2 linked regions of the Lonchura striata genome follow. The protein of the gene in region 1 interacts with the protein of each later gene in a biochemical or structural test. Links are inferred from orthologs where the notes say so. Each region holds a gene or a part of one and is shown on either strand. Other genes may lie near its edges.

What was found. The genes of interacting proteins can lie anywhere in the genome.
Region 2: the proteins of GSK3B (region 1) and MUC1 form a complex in vitro, tested with the Homo sapiens proteins (2 studies listed by BioGRID). The link is inferred for Lonchura striata from reciprocal best matches to the Homo sapiens genes GSK3B and MUC1.

What each region holds. Positions count from the first base shown.
Region 1 is NC_134604.1:27,532,747-27,539,687, reverse strand, and holds the start of GSK3B (glycogen synthase kinase-3 beta), read left to right. Parts: upstream 1-3,894; 5' UTR 3,895-5,012; coding exon 5,013-5,100; intron 5,101-6,941. UniProt on the Homo sapiens protein: Constitutively active protein kinase that acts as a negative regulator in the hormonal control of glucose homeostasis, Wnt signaling and regulation of transcription factors and microtubules, by phosphorylating and inactivating glycogen synthase (GYS1 or GYS2), EIF2B, CTNNB1/beta-catenin, APC, AXIN1, DPYSL2/CRMP2, JUN, NFATC1/NFATC, MAPT/TAU and MACF1.
Region 2 is NC_134635.1:1,755,666-1,763,337, reverse strand, and holds the start of MUC1 (mucin-1), read left to right. Parts: upstream 1-4,635; 5' UTR 4,636-5,230; coding exon 5,231-5,273; intron 5,274-5,978; coding exon 5,979-6,574; intron 6,575-7,110; coding exon 7,111-7,184; intron 7,185-7,287; coding exon 7,288-7,430; intron 7,431-7,667; coding exon 7,668-7,672. Other genes in the region: THBS3 (thrombospondin-3), read left to right, coding at 701-840, 994-1,052. UniProt on the Homo sapiens protein: The alpha subunit has cell adhesive properties. Can act both as an adhesion and an anti-adhesion protein. May provide a protective layer on epithelial cells against bacterial and enzyme attack.

The DNA.
Region 1 (6,941 bases):
ATGCCAATCAAACAAGAGACAAACCATTACAATGTCTCACTAAATTGTTCTGTGGATAATTGCCTTAGCAATATCAAGGAGTTAGATACAAGACTGGTAGATCCATTAATATAATTTAGATTCTCTTGTATAGCAAGGTTCAAAAAAGCCTTGAATCATTGCATGCTTATCAGACTAGCAAGAGGTAGGCCTGTAACCATGCCTTCTGGTGGAATGACCCAGCAAGAGGTGCAAGGTAAGCAAACAGAAAATCTTCCTGCTGATCACTTGGAAAGGAAGCAATGCAGAAAGAAAACAGCAGGAACTCCTGTGCAGGAACATGTCTACCAGTTCCTGTTGGAGCAGGCTTATTCAGTGTCTGATTAGAATGATTGAAGTTTATTGTTGATATATGAAATGCAAACAGACAAAAGAAAACCCCTAAAGAAGCAAACAAAACCCCTCCCCTACTCTTCTCCTGAGCTCCTTAGAGCTTTTTACCCAGAAGTGGTACCAATTTTCCAATTCACTGCCACCTTATGGCATTTCAGAGAGATAACACCTCAGTAATTTTTCTCGGACACTTCACATATTCAGGCAACCTCCTTGGGCACTTGCACATTACAGAGACATGGCAGCTGTAAAACTGCCCCATGCATCCAGACTTAGAACAATATTGATGCTTGGGATGCTGGATTATAATAGCATGTGAAAACTGATAATTAAAGCGTCAATTCTATTTATATTTGCAGATTCTAAAGGGAGGTCATTTCAGCAGCCAAGGGGCCAAAAATAAATATGGACTTTGCAATGTTGTCAAAAGAGAATCTTTCAGTCTAAAAAGGCAACTAGCTCACTCATGACTCTCACAAATTATTTTGTCAGAAGATTTTTGAAATTGATGATGAAAGCTTAATAGATGCCCTTATTGTGTGTTTAAGGTTTTTCTGAGAGTAGTCTTAGTTCAGGAAAGAATCTATGAAAAGACCAACAGAAATTGGAGGTGCTTTATGCTTTTCCATCCCCTCAAATATATCACAATTTTCCTTTAAAACACAGTTGTGGTTTCCTAGTGGATAAGAAGATGCTACAACTTGAATGGACGGGCTTTGGAGACTTGGTTGCTTAATTATGAAATGGAAATATGTGCAGGATTGCCAAATATGAAATACTGCAGCTGGGATTTTTGTAATATGCATTCCCCCTGTGGATGGGTAGGCTTGGTATTCAGAAAAGTGTTATTAGAAGCAACCAAGTTGTGGTTTTGATATAGATTACTTTGGTATTGAAGAGGAAACAGGGTGATTTTAGAGAAATAAACCAGATAAAGGTTTACCAGATAGAGGAAGACAAGCAAAAACTTATTTTCATGCAGTAGCTTGTTTTCTGTAAGTAAATGAAGTTGATTTCCCATTTTTTTTATCAGGTTGTAGATTCATTACGAAGCTTTAAGGGACATTTTTCAAATGGGCACCATCAGTATAAATTATGCATCGGTCTGACTTTTATTTACCACTATCATGACTAACAGCAAATGTTGAAAAACAAAGAGCTCACCCTCCCCCACCTGCTGTTTTTTCAGACTGCCAAATTTTTCAAGAAACAAAGCTCGGCTGTCTCTCCGAAGTCCGTTCTCCTGTTTACATAGTAATTTGAAAGAACTTTGTCAGAAAATAAGAAAATGTGATTTGTGTTAGCAATTTGATGCCCAAAGCCAGAAAAAATAATGACTGGAATGCCTGGTGGTACATTTCAGGTACAAGAGAGCTGGCCACTGCCTAGTGGCATATTTACTTTGTTGTTTTATGTAAGAATGCTCTTCAGAGAGCTAACCCAATCTATAACCCTAATTTTTGACAACTGCTCTTCCAAACAGGAGAGAAAATGTCATTTTCACTGTTGGAAGCTCATTGAAGCTGTGTCTAAGTAACATTTGACACAGTGGTGTCTCAGAGGGGGGTTGGAACAATGAGTTATGGTAGGGTGGCTTGGGGTGGCTGCAGTAGCACTCCTATGCTGTGACTTCAGTGTCTTAGCGCTTGCTAGGGCACACCACTCTCACCTGTCAGGTTCCCAGCTGTAGAGCTGCACAGGTAGAGCCTGAATAATCAAACCTTAAACAGTCCCATGGCCTTTGTAGTAGGTAAAACCACTCATCATTATTCGGCAGGAAAAAAGGCTTCCAGCAAGCCAACCACCCCAGGGTGAGCAAAGTGCTGAACAGGACCATTTTGAGAGACTGGGTTTGTTTTTGGCTTTAGAAAACAGCTCTTGTAAATGATAAATTTCAGCTGCCTTTGGCCAGGTCTTTGTTTGGTCACATAGCAATAGTGTTCAGAACAGGGCTGCAAAAAAAGTAAATCTGGCAATATTTTGATGCCTTAAAAGAAAACAGCAGTCTAAGTCTCTAACACTGGCAAAATGTTTCTACTAGTCCAAGTTATTTTGTTTGTGGTATAAACTATTCTGGCAAGAGCACTTTTTTTTTTTTTTCTTTTTAATGGCATAAGCAAGTGGTGCTCAGTTTTTGCTGATGTCTGCCGAGTAATTTCACTGAGTTCACAGCAGGCAGCAGTGCTCCAGTGCTGGTTGTGCCAGGGCTGGGAGCTGCTGCCCCCAGGGATGCTCCAGAGCCCTGAAGAAGGACAAGTTCTTCCAGAACAGTGCCTGGAACTCCAGCCAGGGCCAAGCTCAATCCACTGTGGTGGCAGTGGGACCTAACTCTGAGGGTGTTTAGTGCCTCACTACAAACTGCGTTTCCTGTGAGGAAGCCTTGCTGTTAACAGCTGAATTGGGAGGACTTTCTATGAGAGCCTTGATCTTCTTTCCCCTGCTTGGCCCAGTTTGTGTAGAACGGGTTCACCGTTGCTTCATGAACCACATCCATGACTGTTCCAGCCTCTTGTCTCCTGCCAGAAATCTGCAGAGGGACTGTCCACAAGAGCTTGTCAGCTTCTCACGCAAAAGGGGTGGCTTCAAACTGAAAGAGGGTAGGGTTAGATAGATACTCAGAAGAAATTCTTTACATGAGGGTGTTGAGACATTGGAACAGGCTACACGGAGGAGTTGTGGTTGCCCCATCCCTGGAAATGTTCAAGGCTAGGTTGGATGGGTTTGGAGCAACCTGGTCTAGTGAAAAGTGTCCCTGCCCATGGCAGAGGGGTGGGAACTGCAGGGTCCTGAAGAGCCGTTCCAACCCAAACCGTTCTATGATTCTATGACAGCACTGCGCGCGTCAGCGCCATTTCCTTCACAGCTCAGTGAAGCAGAACCGCAACATCTCTGCGCCTGACGGGTTTTAGGCACAAACCCCACGATTTCGAGTTTCCTTTCGTACCGCCCCAAACCCGCTCCCGGCGGGACGGGCCGCGGGGGCGCGCCTGAGGGGCGGTGCCCGGCCGCGCTGCGCATGCGCGCTGCCCTCCCCCGGCCCCCACAGAGGCGCGCGGCCGTGCCCCGCCGGGAGCGGGCGCGCCCGTGGCCCTGCGCCTCGCGATTGGTCCCCTGCAGGCAGCCTCATCGCCGGCAGCCAATCGCTGCCCGCGGCCGCTCTCCGCCTCGGGCTGCGGCTCGAAGACGTCCCAGGGCTGGGTGACGGAGGCAGCGCGGCCCCTGATTGGCTCTCCCTCCTCGGCTCCACTCGGGTTGGCCCGGCGATGGCCGGAAGAGAGCCCTCCTTTCCATTGGCCGCCCGCCCGCGCTGCTAGGGCGGCGGCGGCGTGCTCCGATTGGGTCTCCGCTTCACTTCGGGGAGAATCGGTCGTGCCCGCCGTGGTTCCGTGATTGGTTCCGCCCAGTTACAGGCATTCTTGTAACGGCCTGAGGATTGGTCCCGATAAGGCTCGGGCGTTTCCGTAACGGCCTCGGGCCGGGGGCTCGCGGGCGCGCCGGGTTCTTCGGCCGGGTATTCACAGACGGCGCTTACGGCTGCTCCGCAGCGTGGGGCGGCGGCGGGCACGGGCGGCTGCGCGGCTTTGGCGCACGCACAGAGCGCAGCGGCGGGAGCCCGGCACGCAGCGGAGGGAGCAGCGGGGACAAAGGGACTGATCGGCAGGAACTGGGAGGGGGGCCCGGCGGGAGACTTCAGCCGGGCGGACGAGTCCTATGTGCCTTGGACGCCTGGGGAAGCAGCAGCAAAAGCAGCAACCGCCGTCAGCGCTCTGAAGCCGGGCTGACGAGGAGCAGGGAAATCGCCGCCGTCATGGCCCCTGCCGTTGCCGCCGGCCGCCGGCCGCAGTGCAGCGTGCCCTGCCTGAGCCACCGCCAGCTGCCCGTGCGGGCGGAATGAGCGGCCGCACCGCCGGAGCCGCCGCCGCCTCAGCGCCGCACTGAGCAGCAGCGTCAGCGAGCAGCGAGGCCGCCCGACCGCCTCACCCCCCTCCGCGCGCCGCGGATCCCGCCGCCACCACCGGATCCTATTGCGACTCGGTGCCGCATCGCCTCCGCTCGGCTGTGCCCCGAGATCCCTCCGCCAGGGAAAAAAATAGTCCCGTTGCCTGCCGCCTCCCTCAGAGGCGAGGGGGAAGGAGAGGAACGGGGAGGGGGGAAGGAAGAGAAGGAAGAAAAAGAAGAAAAGGGGAAAAAAAGAGCTAAAGCAAATAAAAGGAGAGAAGCGCGGCGGCGGCGGGATCGGAGGAGCCGGGCCGCGAGCCTCCGCCCCATGTGACTGGCGCCCGGGGTGGGGGCAGCGAGGCCCAGCGAACCCCCCTCGCTCGGGAGCGGCGCCGGGGGGAGGCGGCTCTCGGTCCCACCGGCGCGGCCGGGAAGGATGGTCGTGTGAGGAGCGGGCGGCGTGAGGAGGAGCAGGAGGAGGCAGGAGAAGAAGAAGCACCCGCCGGGCGGCAGAGACCGAGAGGGGAGGGGGCTTCCCCGGGGGGGGAAGGGGGGGTCCCGGCGTTTCATGTGGCGCGTCCCACCCGTCTCCTGCAGCTGAGCGAGCGAGGGAGCGGCAGGCGGGCCCGCCGGGGCGAGGCGGAGGGCGAAGGCAGGAAGAGGAGAGAGGTGATCGCCGTTGGGGCAGAGCGGGAGAGACCATGTCCGGGCGGCCCAGGACCACCTCCTTCGCGGAGAGCTGCAAGCCTGTGCAGCAGCCCTCGGCCTTCGGCAGCATGAAAGTCAGCCGTGAGTATCCTGCCCCGCTCGGGTTGGGGGGTGAGGGCCGGCGAGGCTGCCCCCGCCCTTCGCCCAGGCGGGGAGCGGCGAAGGGAGCCTGGCCCCAGCCCCGGCCTCGGCAGCTCCTTTCTCTCCCCTTCCCCCCCCATTAACCTTGAATAGGCGCACGCCGCCGCTCCGTTCGGGGCCTGCTGGACGGAAAATCCCGATGGGTTTGTCCTCGTCCTTAGCTCCTGGTCGCTGCCAGCGGCCTCTGCCTCATTAAAAAGCCATTTTCCCCCCCCTTTGTGAAACGGATTGGAAGCTCCGTAGTCTCTATTTCCTTTTCATTCGCCCCCTCCTCCCACCGAAAGGAGGAAACGAATTGCGGGCACACAGGTATGACCGTGACATTCACGTTCATTATGTGGTTTTTTTGGAGTTTTTTTTTTTAAAAGCACTCCTGGCTGTTAAGGGGAGAGAGCATGGAAGGTTTTTCCATGCACCCGTAGTTCGGGTGTGAGCACCTTTTAGTCCAGCCCATTAAAAAAAAAAAAAAAAAAAGGAGGGGGAGGGGAGCTTACAAAAGGTGTCTCTAATATCCTCCAGGCTCTGGTAAAATGCTCAGAAGAAGGCATAAGAAAATGCTCATTTTGAAATAACTACTCCATGGGCTCACATGTCAAGCTTGGCATTATTTTTCCAATTTTCTGATCAGAGGAATATTTTTTAAGAACGAGGCCTGTGCTTTATTCTGCACAGACATGTCAGAAATGCTTAATGTGTGCCCATTCTTCGTATTCTATCTGATGGGGTTAGCTGGTTTATGTGAATTAAAAATATTAATTAAACCTGCACAAATGTACTGTGCTGATACAAAAAGGCCCAGTTCTGAGTTGCTATAGTTCAGCTATGTGCTTATCATATGGAATTTCTTTACTCCTGATTTGAATATGGTCACATTAAGACCTGAATTGTTCTTCCAGATTCATATGAACATAGTAGTTTTTAGAGATATCTTCTTTTTTCTTACGGAAATGCAGGATGACATTTTTATGAGACCAGGAATGCTCAATATGCATTCCCATTCAATTGATCTATTTGATATTCGGTTAAAGCCACACCTGACATGGCTCTGCGGGTACATGCCTGCATCCAGCGAAGGGGCTAGTCCATTTCATGCCAAAGCACTGGGAGATTGTGAGCTTTTTGACAGATGAGAAATTTTGACAGGTTTTTTGTACTGAAATGTCTTCCCCTGTGGTTGAAACCTTGAAGAGACCATTTGGCTCAGGTGCTGTAGTCCACCTTGTATCTGCATGATCAGTGCAACCCTCCAAAAACCATGGGTGCAGTTAACCTATTTTAGCAGCACAAAAGCGTAGGTTTGATCAGGTCCAGCATTGGTATTTATTAAGGATTATTGATCTATATGGAGGAGAACTGTGGGTGACTCCATTTTAATTTACTGACTTCTTTATGTGCCTGTGGAATGGAAAACGGGTCTTGTTGGTCACTATTTCTGCAGGTGGCTGTCTAAACCAAGCGAGACCTCAACCTGTCATACTCAGCAACTAAATATGTCTTATTCAGGCTCTGCAGCTTGATTCTTGAAAGGTCATTGATACTCCTTTCCCGTTTATTTGAGGTCAAAGACTAGACAGATGCTTGCCTGTGAAGAGGGTGCTAACTGATGCAGACGAACAAGTTTGCAAATATGATTCAATCCCAAGTGTATAACAACTGAGGGAGAAACAAAGGCCGTAACATAAAGCGCATGCACTTGTGATAACCCCCCCAGTCGCTCTAGTCATGTGCTCCTGGTCCTTCTGCTGTCTGGAAAAAAATGTCAGAACAAAGCAAGAGAACCA
Region 2 (7,672 bases), on another chromosome or scaffold:
ACCCGGCCCTTGTGATAACCAAGGATTCTGCCCTGCAGAAGCACCTCAGGGGGTAGCAGGATGTCCATGAGGAGGCCTCGTGCCTCCCGGGACCACCCTAGTGAGGGGATGCCGGCCGTGCGGGGGATGCAGCCCTGCGGGACCACCGCAGTGTGGGGATACCGGCCGTGGGAAGCAGCCAGCCCCGTGAGACCACCGCAGTGGGGAGATTTCGGGCGTGGCGGGGGCTTCTGCCCGGTGGGACCGCAGCCGCGTTTCTCCTTTAAGGCTCCCGCCGGGGCGGCCGCGGCGGGGGGGCTCCGCCGCCGGGCCCTCCGCCCCCCGGGCCCCCGGGGCCATTGTCCCGTCGCCATGGCGACCCCGCCGGCGCCTTTCACATGCAAAGCGCCCGACAAAAGCGGCGGGGCCGGGCCGGGGGCGGCGCGGGGGGCTTCAGCCCGGCCACGGCGGGGGGCCCCGGCCCGAGGATCCAGCCGGTCCGGTGCCCCCGGCCCGAGGATCCCGCAGGGTGCGCCGGTTTCCTCCCGGCGCTACCGTCCCCCGGTCGGGATGCCCGGCGCTACCGTCTCCCGGTCGGGATGCCCGGCGGCCGGTGCTGGTCGTGGGGGGGTCCCAGTAGGATCCCGCTGTTGGCCCCGGTCGGGTACCGGCGGGGTCCCGGGGAGGGCTCGCTGACCGGTCGGGCCCCGTTCCCCCGCAGGGTCCGTCTGTACGAGGGCCCGCAGCTGGTGGCCGACTCCGGTGTGATCATCGACACCACGATGCGCGGGGGCCGGCTGGGGGTCTTCTGCTTCTCCCAGGAGAACATCATCTGGTCCAACCTGCAGTACCGCTGCAACGGTGAGCAGGGCCCCCCGGGACCCCCGCACCGGCCCGGCGGCCGGCCGAGCATCCCCTCGCTCGCCCCTCGGCGGGCTCAGTCCCGGGCCGGGGGCTTTACCGGGGCTCGCTGCCCCCGCCGGCTCCTGACGCCCCCCGCGCTGCTCCCCACAGACACGATCCCTGCCGACTTCGAGCCCTTCCGCCGGTTCCTGCTGGAGGGACGCGAGTGACCGCGCCCGGCACGGGCCTCCCCCGCCGGCGGCACCGGTGGCGCTCCGGGCTCTCGCCACCGGCGGCACCCGGGGGCGCACCGGGCCCCGCCGCTCCTCCCGGCCGGGCCCCGTTCCCGGCCCCCCGCGGACTTTGCACTGCCAGTACCGGGGCCCCGCAGTGCCGGGGCTCCCGCCACGCCTGCCCCGGGCGCTCCGGTCCTTGCCCCACGCCTGGCCATAAAGTTTTGAGTGTTTTCTAACCCTGCGCGCCCGGTCCCTGGGGGTTCCCGCTGGCCCGGGAGGGCCGTGGGTCCCCCCCCCCCGTGCTCGCGGCTCCGTCCCGCGCCGTCCTCCCGGTGGTCGCGGGGTTGGGTCAGCGCCCGGCCGGTCCCACAGGCGCAGCCCGCGGCGGCGGGAGGCCGGGACGAGTGCAATATTGGTGGGCGAGAGCACAACACTGCACCGCATCCCGGCCCTCCCGCCGCCCCGGAGGGAGCGGAGCCGCCGCCGCCGCCCGGGCCGCTCCGTGGGAACTGCGCGGCGCGCACCGCGGCTCGGCGGCAGGGACCGGTCGCCACGGCGACGGCTGTCCCGGCAACGCGGCGGAATGTGCCCCCAACCCCCCCCACCCCATCCCGCCCGCCCCGGAGCGCGCGGCCCCGGCACCGGCCCGGCCCCCCCGCCCCGCGGCGGCGGCGGCGGCGACAATGGGCGCGGCGGCACCGGGCCCCTCTTAAAAGGGCAACGCGGGGGTGCCCTCCGGTGTTGGGACCGGGACCGCGGCTGGGGCCTGTGCCCGTCCCCGAGGCCGCGGCGGGAGCGCAGCCGGCTCTCCCCGGGAGTACCGGGACAGGTGAAATCAGCGCTGGCTGCTGAGCGCCTCCTCCCGCGGGGAAACGCGGTTCCCGTTCCTGTTCCGGTCCTTCTTCTGCTCCCTCTCCGATCCCGGTCCAGCACCGTTCCCGACTCCGCTCCTGCTCCCTCTCCCGCTCCCGTTTCGCTCCAGTATCGGTCTCACTCCCGCTCTGCATTACTGCAGTCGATTCCCGATTCCGCTCCCGGTTTCTTTCCAGCAGCGTTCCCGCTCTCGCTCCAATCCCAGTCCCTGTCACGCTCCTGGTCTCACTCCAGTAGAGGTCCCGTTCCCCCTCCCGGTCCCGGTTCTGGTCCCGGTCCCGGTCCCGGTGCGCGGCGGGAGCGTCGTGCGGGGCGGTGCCCGCCAGGGGGCGCCGCAGGTTCGGGCGGGGCGGGGACGGGGCGGGCTGGGACCCCCGGGCACGGACAGGGCGGACACGGGGATTTACCGGGCACGGACAGGGCGGACACGGGGATTTACCGGGCACGGACAGGGTGGGCACAGGGATTTACCGGGCACGGACAGGGCGGACACAGGGATTTACCGGGCACGGACAGGGTGGGCACAGGGATTTACCGGGCACGGACAGGGTGGGCACAGGGATTTACCGGGCACGGACAGGCTTGGCACAGGGATTTACCGGGCACGGACAGGGCGGACACGGGGATTTACCGGGCACGGACAGGCTGGACACAAGGATTTACCGGGCACGGACAGCATGGGCACAGGGGAAACACCGGGCACGGACAGGGTGGGCACAGGGATTTACCGGGCATGGACGGGCTGGACACAAGGATTTACCGGGCACGGACAGCATGGGCACAGGGGAAACACCAGGCATGGACAGGCTTGGCACAAGGATTTACTGGGCACGGACAGGGCGGACACGGGGATTTACCGGGCACGGACAGGGCGGACACAGGGATTTACCGGGCACGGACAGGCTGGACACAAGGATTTACCGGGCACGGACAGCATGGGCACAGGGGAAACACCGGGCACGGACAGGGCGGACACGGGGATTTACCGGGCACGGACGGGCTGGACACAAGGATTTACCGGGCACGGACAGCATGGGCACAGGGGAAACACGGGGCATGGACAGGGTGGGCACAGGGATTTACTGGGCACGGACAGGGTGGGCACAGGGGAAACACCGGGCATGGACAGGGCGGGCACAGGGGAAACACTGGGCATGGACAGGGTGGGCACAGAGGAAACACCGGGCATGGACAGGCTGGACACAAGGATTTACCGGGCTCGGACACGGTGAGCACAGGGGAACACCGGGCACGGACAGGGTGGGCACAAGGATTTACTGGGCACGGACAGGCTGGACACAGGGGAAACACCAGGCACAGACAGGGTGGGCACAGAGGAAACACCGGGCACGAACAGGGCGGATGCAGGGATCTCACCGGGCACCATGGGAACCCACTGGGCATGGACAGGGTGGGCACATGGAACCCACTGGACATGGACAGGGTGGGCACCCCACTGGGCATGGACAGGGTGGGCACATGGCCTCTCTCCCAGGGCTGGTGGGTGACCGCAGTTGCTGGGACCCCCTCAGCCCCCCCCTCGTGGGGAGGCTCAGAGCAAAGCCCCCCGAGCTGAGCAGGGTGGGGGATTCGGGCTGGAGCAGAGGGCAGCAGGGCTCAGCAGCACTGCGTGGGGAGAGCCATTCCCCTGGTGAGGTGTAGAAAATTGCTGCATCTCCAGGACGGTTTGGCTGAATTGAAGCAAGAGATCTCTGAAGTTTGCTCTTGGAGAATGAGGTTTTTTGGGGATGCAGAAGGGTCCTGCCTCGTGCTCCAAGCATGTGGCAGGGTTTGAGAGGGTGGGGAAGGAGAGACAAAAGGATGCTCAAGGAGATAGGAGGATCCAAGAGAGGGGAGGGAGTTCCAAGAGAAGGGAGGGAGTTCCAAGAGACTGCGTGGCCCCTCGAAGCCCCCTTTTCAAGGAGCTTCAAGGTGGGTTGGAACAAGGCTCGGGCCAATGGGGTGCCTGTAACCCCACTGATGTTTTAGGGGAGGGAATACAGGTGTGGGGTGAGCCGTACATCTTTTGGGGGGTGAGATGGAACAGTCTTCCTGACCCCAGGACCCATCCGTAGGCAGGGGCGTTGTCCGGCTAGCTGGGAGAACTGTTCTCATCCTGGCTGGGTTATTTATGGATAATCCTATTTATCTATCTTCCGCAACAGTGAGGCCTTTTGGGAAGGAAATGTTTGCCCAGAGCTGCTGCCCGCACGTGGCCGGCCTTGCCGAGGCTGTGGCCACCGTGGGGGGAGCAGGGCGCTGCTGGGTCCCGTTGCTGAGCTGACACCCAGGGCATCCACCCTCAGCCTCAGTGCCCAGGCCCCCCTCTCTGCTCCCCTTCTCAGCACCACCTCAGAACCCTTTGGAGTGACAGCAGTGGCACTTTGGCTTCGCGTGAGGCTGGCCAGGAGCCGAGCGTGGGGACCACGACCTCCCCAGGGACTGGGATCCTCACAGGAATCAGCACCCTCCTGAGAGATTGGGGCTCTCAGGAATTCCTGCAGGGCAGGGGCAGAGTGGGACCACGGTAGCTTTTGATGCCCGTCCGTGCCAGGAGCACAAGTCACCTGCGCCCAGGCACGGGCGGTGCCCGTCACCTCTGGGGTGGGGCATTGACACCCAGCACTGGCATCACCCGTGTCCTGGGACGGGGCTTTGTGCCTGCTAGGGGGGCCCTGGCACCCGGAGGGAGGTTCCTGGGAGGTACTGGGGTGTCGTGGGGCCCTGGGCTGTACCTGCGTAAGCGTTTCGGGGGGGTCACCGGTGTTTATTTGGGCGAGGCGATGCCCAGCCGGTAATGATTAACCCTGGGCTGAGCAGAGGACGAGGCCCCTCCTGCACCAGGGGACTCCGTGCCCACCCCGTGCCCCCCACCAGGCTCTGGAGCCCGTGGCTCATCCCAGGCAGATGCTGCTCCCACCCCTTCCCCGGGATGCCCGGCTACCTTCGCGCCCCGTGCCCCCGCCCGCGGCTCTCTGCCCGTGGCACCGGGACGCTGCCGGCGGCGCCTCCCCGAGCCAGGGAGGCGCGACAGACCCAGCTTGGGGGGGCTGATGCCGCGGGGGCCCCGTGGGCACGGTGGCACCCCTGTGCCAAGCGGGGCAGAACGACCCCCCCTGCCCGCAGCCGGGCGGGGCGGGGCCGCCCCACCTGCCCCAGGTGCTCCATAAAGCTCCGGCCGCTGCCGCGCTGCCAGTTCCGGATCCCTGCTGGACCGAGGCGTGTGCCAGCCACCGGCTAACGGGAGAGCAGCCGCTGCTGAGCCCCAGGAGGCGCCGGGACCCCCGGACAAGCCCCACATGGCGTTCCCCGTCTTGCTGCTGCTGCTGGTGGTGGGCACAGGTGAGGGGCTGGGGGCAGGGAGAGAGGAACGGGATCCCTTTCAAAGCGGGCACCGGGGGATCCTGGACCCGCTGGCATCCTGGCAGCAGCGCCGTTGTCACCTGTCCCGTTCTGGCTCTGGGGTGCAGCGCCCCGGCTGTGCCCAGGAAAGCTGGCACCCGGGGGCTCAGAGCGCGGCCCCTCTGCCGCGTCCGAAGGGCTCGGCCGAGGGCCGGGCTGTGCCGGGAGCAGCCGGAGCAGGCTGTGCCCGGGGCTTGCGGGCTGGAATGCAGGTGTGTCCCGGTGAGCATCCGGACCCCGGGCTCTCCTCCAGTGCTGCCTGCAGCACCCCTGGGAACTTGCCCGGGAGCTGCCTGTACTGGCCCCCAGCCAGTCTGGAGGGCACAGGGGCAGCCCAGCCTGTCCCCCACAGCAAGGGGGGCTTTGTTGGGTGGCATGCCTGAGCCCCCCGCATGTCAGGGACGCCCCAGGGTCTGCAGTGCTGGGTGTGGCACCGGTGTCAGTGCCCAGCCAGCTCCACCTGGACCCTCGGTGGTGCCACAAGTGCCCAGCCGTGGGGTGTTGCTGGTGGGGTTAGCCTCGTGAGCAACTGGCTCTTGGTTCCTGGGGGTTGTGGTGCTTCCCACAGCGTCCAGCTGATGAGCTGTTTTGGGTGAAACCTTCCCTAACTGGGCTGCAGCCGTTGACTCCTGGGGTTTCCTCCAGGTACCCGTGCCACGACCACCGAGACAACCATGGAGATGGAAACTACCGAAACGACCACCGTGGAGATGACCACGGAAACCACCAGCACCACCTGGCTGCCAAATATATACCCCAAAAGCACACGGGGCAGCCGGCCCCAAACCTCCGTCATCCCCTATGCCACTGCATTCCCTGGCACAAACACCACGAACTTCCAGTTTGGCAACCGCTCCATGTCCAACGGCACCGTGGTGCCCGTCCACAGCAGCCCAGCCATCCCCCATGCCAATGCCACCTCCAACAGCAGCAGCTGGGTGCCCCACTTTGGCACCAACGGCAGCTCTGCCACCCCCACCACCACGCACTTTGGCAGCGCCAAAGGCAACGGCAGCACCAGCGCTCAGGTCTTTCCCACCCAGATAACGTCCGAGGGCAGCACGGCTCCTGGGCAGACCCCCACCCGGGGTGGTCCCAACCCCAGCAAAACCCCAGCTGGCATCCAGCTGCTTGTCCGTGTCCCGCTGTCCTTCCGCATCATCAACAGGAGCTTCAACGAGAGCCTGCGAGACCCGGCATCGGAGGAGTACAGGAGCCTGAGCCGCACTGTCCTGGCCATGGTGAGTCCCAGCCCCACCAGCAGAGACCCTGGGCTGGCTGGGAAGGATCCCCCTCACCCTGGGGCAGAGATTTGGGGCCATGCTGGGAAGGATCCCCCTCACCCTGGGACAGAGATTTGAGGCTCTGCTGGGAAGGAGCCCACTCACCTTGGGGCAGATGTGCTGGGAAGGAGCCCCCTCACCTTGGGGCAGAGATTTGGGGTGTGCTGGGAAGGAGCCCCCTCACCTTGGGGCAGAGATTTGGGGCCATGCTGGGAAGGAGCCCCCTCACCTTGGGGCCGTGCTGGGAAGGAGCCCCCTCACCTTGGGGTAGATGTGCTGGGAAGGAGCCCCCTCACCCTGGGACAGAGATTTGGGGCCGTGCTGGGAAGGAGCTCCCTCACCTTGGGGTAGATGTGCTGGGAAGGAGCCCCCTCACCTCGTGGCTTTCCGTGGAAGCACCTGGAGCATCCGTTCTGCCAGTTCTGCATGGAGACAGGAAAGGGGGGTGTCTGTGTCCGTGGGGAGGTGGCCGTGACCTCAGTGCTTCCTTCCAGTTCGAACACGTCTTCGGCTGCACGGGCTGCATGGGCACGCAGACCTACACCGGGTGCAGCGAGCTGCGCTACAGGTGAGCAGCAGCAGCGCCAGCAGGGCTGCTGTCCTGCAGTGTACCCCCCCGGTTTGTAGCTCCTCAGGGGGCAATCCGGGTGCTGATGCCTCCTCCTGTGCAGCCAAGGCTCGGTGGAGGTCCAGTCCACCCTCGTGTTTGGGAACGGAAGCGATGCCGTCACTCCCGACGCTGCCGAGCAGCGCCTGAGGAAGAGCCTGGACCAGAATGGCTTCATCATGGGCCTGCAGCTGGACAGCATCCAGAGTGAGAGGCTGGGAGGGAGGGGATGGAGCCTGGGCGAAGCCTGGGGGGCTCCAGAAGCATTGCCCTGTCCTGGTGGAGGCAGGGGGCTGCTTGGTGCTGTGATGGGCTTGGGGATGCAGAGGGTGGGGCCAGCACAGTTTGCAGCGCCTGTGCCAGGCAGGAGGGCTCAGACCCCGGTGTCCCATCCCAGGGATCTCTCAGGGCTCTGTCCCAGTTCTGCCTGTGGTGCAGACACAGCTCTG